Linked DNA regions of Mus musculus. The protein of the gene in region 2 purifies or fractionates together with the protein of the main gene of each other region. This does not show direct contact. Links are inferred from orthologs where the notes say so. Each region holds a gene or a part of one and is shown on either strand. Other genes may lie near its edges.

What was found.
Region 1: the proteins of Eif3b (region 2) and Eif3f purify together in Homo sapiens (affinity purification with mass spectrometry; 14 studies listed by BioGRID and IntAct, counting the BioPlex papers as one, with this or other methods). This does not show direct contact. The link is inferred for Mus musculus from reciprocal best matches to the Homo sapiens genes EIF3B and EIF3F.

Annotation. Positions count from the first base shown.
Region 1 is NC_000073.6:108,933,117-108,937,221, forward strand, and holds the start of Eif3f (eukaryotic translation initiation factor 3 subunit F), read left to right. Parts: upstream 1-1,298; 5' UTR 1,299-1,315; coding exon 1,316-1,691; intron 1,692-4,105. UniProt on the Homo sapiens protein: Component of the eukaryotic translation initiation factor 3 (eIF-3) complex, which is required for several steps in the initiation of protein synthesis.
Region 2 is NC_000071.6:140,439,799-140,443,310, forward strand, and holds part of Eif3b (eukaryotic translation initiation factor 3 subunit B), read left to right. Parts: intron 1-114; coding exon 115-253; intron 254-1,187; coding exon 1,188-1,313; intron 1,314-1,938; coding exon 1,939-2,016; intron 2,017-2,325; coding exon 2,326-2,434; intron 2,435-2,521; coding exon 2,522-2,625; 3' UTR 2,626-2,638; intron 2,639-3,075; 3' UTR 3,076-3,512.

The DNA.
Region 1 (4,105 bases), on a different chromosome or scaffold from region 2:
AATGAAAATATTTATTTATCTATTACACACACACACACACTGTCCCTATCTTCAGACACACCAGAAGGAGGCATCAGATCCTATTACAAATGATTGTAAGCCACTGTGTAGTTGCTGGGAATTGAACTTAGGACCTTTGGAAGAGGTTATTGCAGAGAATCTGCGTTGAGGTTCTAGCAAGGGGAAGGGGTTGGTTGGTGGCTTACAGCTACTCACAACTCTAGTTGTGTTCCTAACCGCTGAGCCATCTCTCCAGTACCAGCATAGGAGTCTTCATAATTAGCTCCTGGCCCTGCTTAGAGATCTATCCTTTCTTTTGATAATGCCATTTAACCACCAAATTCTTTCTTTAAATGTACTAGTCTTGCTCTCATTCACCTTAAGCCCTCTACATGAACTGTTCACTCCACCAGAAGAGCTCTCCCTACAAAACCCCAAATAATAGTTGGCTGCCTGAATTCTTCAAGTTTCCACTCCAACTTGATACCCTCATTGTATCCTACTCTAACCCTTCATAATCTTTCATGCTCTCATAACCTCCACTGATCATTTCTTTCTCATAGCACAGTCAAATAGTAATAATAATTTACTGTGTATCGAAGCACTTTCTAACCTAATGTAGGATTTAGTCCTTTTCTCTCCCCCAAAGAGAATGCAACCCTTTGCTATTTAGTTCACTTATATACCCTAGCATATAAGAGAGAGTCTGGTGCATATTAAGCATTTAAATTGTTGAATGAATATGCCTCCCTAATGATGCCTTATGAAGCCATCACAAATAAAGCACTATTGGTCAGGCATGATGATTCCTGCCTATAGTCCTAGCATTCGGGAAGCAGAGGCAGGAAAGTTGAGGTAAGTTCCAGGCCAACCTAACCTATATGGCTAGGCGTGGAATGCAAAGTAGATCCTGAGTCCAAATTTTAATTCATTGATTAATAAGTTAAATGGATGTAACAGTGAATCCCCTGTAAGACTGATATTTAATATCCATTTAAGTCTTAAACAATTGCGACCTTTACACTACTCTGTGCCGCCACCTGGTGGCAACTGTGTAGATTGCTAGTTGCTTCCTCCCCATTCCCACCCCAGGAAGTCCTAAAGTTACTAGGAACTACTCTGGACTCCTACACACTGAGTGCGCATCGGACAGAAATTAAAGCGCACACCGCGCACTAAAACTTACAACTAGCCGGAAATTTCATGTCCAATAGTCATCAAGATATGATTCACGTGGTATAAATTTAGCCAATCAAATTTCTAATTCCTCCAACTCACGCTCTTCTGTTCTAGGCTCTCTCTCTTTCTCGGCAAGATGGCTTCTCCGGCCGTACCGGCTAATGTCCCTCCTGCCACTGCAGCCGCAGCCCCGGCGCCGGTCGTCACCGCAGCCCCGGCTTCAGCCCCGACCCCATCCACGCCAGCTCCGACACCGGCTGCGACTCCCGCTGCGTCCCCGGCGCCCGTCTCGTCTGATCCTGCTGTAGCTGCGCCTGCAGCCCCGGGCCAGACCCCAGCCTCCGCGCCAGCCCCAGCGCAGACGCCGGCGCCTTCGCAGCCCGGGCCCGCCCTCCCGGGGCCTTTCCCGGGCGGCCGCGTGGTCAGGCTACACCCCGTCATTTTGGCCTCGATCGTGGACAGCTACGAACGCCGCAACGAGGGAGCTGCCCGAGTTATTGGAACCCTGTTGGGTGAGTTCTGGGGAAATTAATGTTTTCTTCCTGTGCATCTTACTATTCCTCTCGTTCCATCGCCCCTGAACTCTTAGCCTGTTTCTCTTTTTGCACCTTCCTACTGTGGCTTGCCTTCCCGAGTGATCTGAATTCAGCCGAATTGCCGTTAAGCCACAGAAATGTGCAAGGAGTAGGTATAAGCTATTGCGTAGTTTGTGATACTTGATCTACATGTTATTTTATACTCCCAACAACGTGGTACTGAGAGGGCATGCTGCCAAAAATGAAAGCTCAAATGACAGCAAGTTCAAAGCCCTTGACCCGTTAAACAGAGTACCCACATGCCCTCTCTTATGCAGTGACCTACCACCACCCCAGCACAAACAGAAAGTGCCCACCACCCATGTTAGGGAAGAGGATGTGTCAGAAGCTTCCTCCAACTCAAATAAACCAGGTATATTTGTAACATATTCTGGATATATAATATCTAGCTTTCCTAAACTTTTCAGACAGGCACGTGTCCCAAGGTTTTCCTACATACTGGTTCATAAACCCTAGATATGCTCAGCTCCAAGTTCTACCCCCACCCCCAACCCCCACCTCACTCCTCTGATTTTTCATTTGGACACAGACTGTTGTTGTATTATGTGTCCGTCGCTAACCTTCAAGATGAAGAGAAGCCAACTATCTGAAGAGGTTGGCATCCCAGGCTTACGGGAGGGTGGCAGGAAGTGAAGCCCTCAGTGGTTTGGTCACCTGCCTGTGGGGCAGGACTCACAGGGAGCTGAGAAGACTCCTCCAGGCTGGTCTCTGCAGAGGCCCATGACCAGCACTCATTCCAGAGCCGAGGCAGGGGAAACTAGAGAACATGCCTGCTTTGTGGAAAGTAGTAGACCTGAGTTGGGCCTGGACAGCAGATTGAGGGCTGAAGCAGAGCACCTGCAAAGGGGAGGCAGAGAGAGGCAGAGAGTGGACGCAAGGAAATAGAGCTCGCAGGTCAAGGCGTGACAGAACTGCAGCATGAGAGGGGTTTGGGTGAGTTCTAGAGCTGCCGTTGTGCATACAAGAAGAAAGGACAGAGTGTGGCTTGGGCTTGGTATTCCTTGTGAGGTGCCCCTGAGTGTACCAGTGGGTTGGTCAAGTAGAAAATTGAGTAAGCAGGGCTGCCAGGGCGCTTCACTGCCTGCCCGTGCTTCACTTCCCAGAGCCCACATGATGGAAGGAGAAAACCTGCAGACGGTCCTCTGACTTCCATGGGCAAGCAGTTGCACATCCATAATTAATCAGTATAAAAGAAAGGCAAATTTTAACAGTACGTGTGAAGATGCAAATGTAAAGAGGTGTGGGCAAGTATGCCCTAGCCCCCAGAAGATAAGTAACTGAAATAAAGAGGTAGATGTACTCACCTACCACAGGGATTGGTAGCTGTGTTTTTAAAAAAAGTCAGGGAATATTTTCAGCTTTGTGTGCAGTCTGTCACAGCTACTCAACTCTGCCCTTGTAGCAGGAAAAGAGCCATAAATAATGCAAAAGAGATTGGGCACATAAACATGAACTGAAGTGTTTCTGGGCCAGTACTTGACCTAGAAAAGAAGCATAGAACAAAAACTGGGAACACTAACAATGCTGAAACCCTGAGGTGTCAGAGGAGCTAACAGATTAGGAAGAGAAGGGGAAAAGCTAGAAGAGACTGGTATCTTGGAGGCCCTAGGAGAAAAGGCTCTGAAATGGGGGAAGCAGTCACAGTGGTCAAAGTTGGTGAGTGTTCAGATGACAGAAGGTATACCTGTGGGTTAAGAACCTTGTCTTAGGGTTCCATTGCTGTGAACAGACACCATGACCAAGGCAGCATTTCACTGTGGCTGCTTACTGGTTCTGAGGTTCAGTCCATTATCATCAAGGTGGGAAGCATGGCAGCATCCAGGCGGGCATGGCACTGGAGAAGGAGCTGAGAGTTCCATGTCTTATTCAAGGGAACCCAGAAGAAGACTGGGCTTCGTCCCACCCGGCTAGAAGGAGGGTCTCAAAGCCCACTCCCACAGTGGCACACCTAGTCCAACAAGGCCATACCTCCTGTTAGCACCACTCTCTGGGCCAAGCATATTCAAACCACCACATAGTTCAGAAAATGAAACCATAACGCTAGCCAACAAAAGACAACACTAGCAGAGACATGTTACAAGGGGTAGGGGGTGAGGAACTTAAAGGAAGGTACCAGGACATCAAGTGAGAATAGTTGGGACCTATGGCTCAGTGAGATCCAGTAACTAATGTGAGAGTTAGGGGTGTGAGAGGAAGTCTGGTAAGAAAACCTCTGGGGGTGGAATGACCCTTTCACAGAAGATCATCAGAAAACACAAGTATTTCAATTACATTTATAACAGTAGCAAAATTGTAGTTATGAATTATCAATGAAAATAATTTTATGGTTA
Region 2 (3,512 bases):
AGAGTCCTCCATCCTTTCTCACCCTGTGACTCAGTTCTCAGTTGTGGTGAGGGGCATTGGACTCCCGGTGGGGGTACAGGGGATTGTGGGATCAGCTGCCCTGTCACCCCACAGCATGAACGGTGCCTTGGCGTTTGTCGACACTTCAGACTGCACCGTCATGAACATTGCAGAGCACTACATGGCCTCCGATGTTGAATGGGACCCAACTGGCCGCTACGTGGTTACCTCTGTGTCGTGGTGGAGCCACAAGGTAGAAGATGGCAGGTGCTGGGCCCTTAGAGAACGAAACCTCTCAAGGCTGGTGACAGAAACTGTTCCTGTGGGGCTGTTATATCCAGGGATCCCAAGCTGAGGGCATTATTCACAAACCTCGCGCAGCTGAGGGGTCAGCTACCAGAGCATTGGGCATGTCTGCTTGGCTGGGCCTGCTGGAGCACTGTGCCTGTGTTTACTGTTAAGTAGACAGTTGAACCAGTCCATGAAAACAAAACCTGTGAGCTCAGAGGGCTCCAGCTGATGAGATGTGACCCCTTGCTTCCCAGAGTCCTTGGGTAGTGTCTGGAATAGCACTCTATACTCAGGACAGGATGTGCTGTCTAGGACCCATCCCAACACTTATGTAGCACATTGTAGGACTGGCAATGTCAGTGCATAGCATAGCACCTGCCTGGGTTCCATCCCAGCATCTCCCACCCCCAAAAGGGCCGAGGGGAAGGAAGTGAGAGTCTTTAAAGCCTATGTGGGGCTGTTCCATTCAGTTCACAAAGCCCCTGAAGAGATGGTTGGCAGCAAGGAGCCCAGCATTTGAGTTGAGGCGGAGCTCCTGGGAGGCAGAGGCAGGCGGATTTCTGAGTTCGAGGCCAGCCTGGTCTACAGAGAGGGTTCCAGGACAGCCAGGGCTACACAGAGAGAATCTGTCTCTAGAATCTTGCGGAGAAAGCTAAGCTGAAGTTGCTGCTGTTCTCATTGGCACTGCTGTGAGAGTTTCTTGTCATAGACCAGTGGGTGACGAGCAGGCCCAGGATCCTTGCAGCATTGTTTGCTAGCCATCTTTTCTGCTGGAGGGGGAACACAGCCAGGTGCAGGTGTTTTTGTCCAGAGCTCAGGTTGGTGCTGTGGCTGCTAAGAGTAACGGTCCAGGGCAGCCTTGCACATTTTGCATGATGGTTCCCACTGCCCTCTAGGTGGACAATGCTTACTGGCTGTGGACCTTCCAAGGTCGCCTTCTGCAGAAGAACAACAAGGACCGCTTCTGCCAGCTGCTCTGGAGACCAAGGCCCCCAACACTCCTCAGCCAGGATCAGATAAAGGTCTGTGGTCCCTGCCTGGTTGGGGTAAGGGAACTGTTGTGGCACTGAAGGAAACCAAGCATTTGTCCTGTGACTGGACAGGGGCAGTCAATGGAGAGTGGAGGTAGGACGTGGAGAGGGCTCTGAAGAGATGCAGGGCCAATGAGACCTGACCCAAAGCCATGTTAGGTTAGGCAGTGCTTATAATCCCAGTAGGCTGAGGCAGGAGGATGGTGAGTTCTTTCCAGACTCTGACATATAGCAATAGGATGATCCTGCCTGTGTCCTCTGCTCCCCTCCCCTTGCACCTTCTTCCCCCCCACCCCCCCACCCCCCCACCCCCGACTTCAGAATACCCATGATAGTCTGTTTAAGCCAGACAGGCTATAAGCAAGTTCCAGTGGGATTGGAAGAGCTAAGAAGGGGTTATGTAATGGGATAGGTTTGTGGTATTAGGTCAGAGCTGGGAGTGACTCACCTTAGGAATCATCTCCATGAGGTGAGACTCGCCAGCTGGCCATGCTGGTGCCCTGGGGCTGAATCCTCTTAGTCCTGGAGGCTGTCACTGCACACTGGCATCTTTAAAGGCAGCAGTTGGGAATCTTGCTTTGAAGGCTCAATCCTGAGAGACTTGTCTTGGTTTCAGCAAATTAAAAAGGATCTGAAGAAGTACTCCAAGATCTTTGAGCAGAAGGATCGCTTGAGCCAGTCCAAAGCTTCAAAGGTGAGCCTGAGGGATGCTCACAGGAGCCTGATCTGGCTTGTTCTCCGGATGTGAAGGTGAACGAACTAGCAATGGGGAGCAGAAGGCCAGCACCCACAACACTGAGTGAAGGCTAGCTTTTTCTTGCAAGAAGCAGGGGGGAGTATGATTAGGAAGAGGAACGAGGGCCCCGCTTAAGGGAGGTTCTGTGGAAGGCTTGCCCAGTGCACAAGCACTGACATCTTCCAGACTTCTTCACCAGTGGTTGCTAGATATGGTGGGGTCATTGTCATTGAGCAAGAATGTCCTACAACCTTCCCTACCTGACAGGAACTGGTGGAAAGAAGGCGGACCATGATGGAGGACTTCCGGCAATACCGGAAAATGGCCCAGGAACTCTACATGAAGCAGAAGAACGAGCGTCTAGAGCTACGAGGAGGTAACCAAGCTTCTGGGCTTGTCTGCAAGTGCAGTGGTTCCCCGAGAGGCCGTGTCCCAGGGGTCAGTCTATTGTCTGTTCTCTCAGGGGTGGACACTGACGAGCTGGACAGCAACGTGGATGACTGGGAGGAAGAGACCATTGAGTTTTTTGTCACCGAGGAAGTCATTCCTCTGGGAAGTCAGGAGTGATCTCAGCACTGTGGTAAGATCTGTGAACAAGAAACTAGGAATGAGGGTCTGCTGACGAGCCCTGGCTGCTTGTTAGACCACCACATAGAGGACATCCCAGGAGGGTGGCAGTGCTGCTGCTAGTGGGTGCTAGGGAGCTTGGGGAGAAGCAGAGGCGGGCATGGCCATCTCCAGAGGTCAGGGACAGCACTGTCACCATGTTGATATTGTTGGTGCAGGACGGAGTGCCTACCTGCCTGCCTGCCTGCCTGCCTGCCTGCCTGCCTGCCTGCCTGCCTGCATGTGGTATTGCTTGGTACTGGGCTCCTTCAGGAACCATGAGAGAGAGGGTGGGGGGGGAGAGGGCGAGCGTGAGCGCTAAGCCTCTCATGGCATGGAGCCTGCTCAGTGAAGAGTCCGGCTGTGCTCCCTTGCTTTGTGTCTGACTAAATGGTGGTTCATCTGTTGCAGTGTCACCGTGCCGTGCCCAGGATCCGAGGCCACCCTTCACGGCGAGCCTCGTGCTGGGCTCTTACCTGTGCTTTCTTGCTCTGGACTGCGAGTGCACCCAGGGTTCTTCTATCCCGACACAGCTCTGTGCCTTCAGCCCCAGGTCCACAGCGGGGACACTCGAGCCTCTGCTCTCACCTTGCCCTGTTTGGGTTTTTATCAGCCGTGTCTGCATTGGAGCCTCACTGCAGTGTTCCTGGTGGCTCCTCTTAACTCCTGCTGCTGTCCATGGGGTTTCCAGAGCCTTCACCTACAGCTCAGTGGGGTTTCCATTCACGGACTTGCTGTTCCTGTGGGCCAGTGTCGTGTGGCCTGGAGACCATCAGGAGTCTGCACACCCACCACTTACTTGTGCCAGAAACTCTGGAGGCACCCACACCTCCCACCTGTTCAGGTTG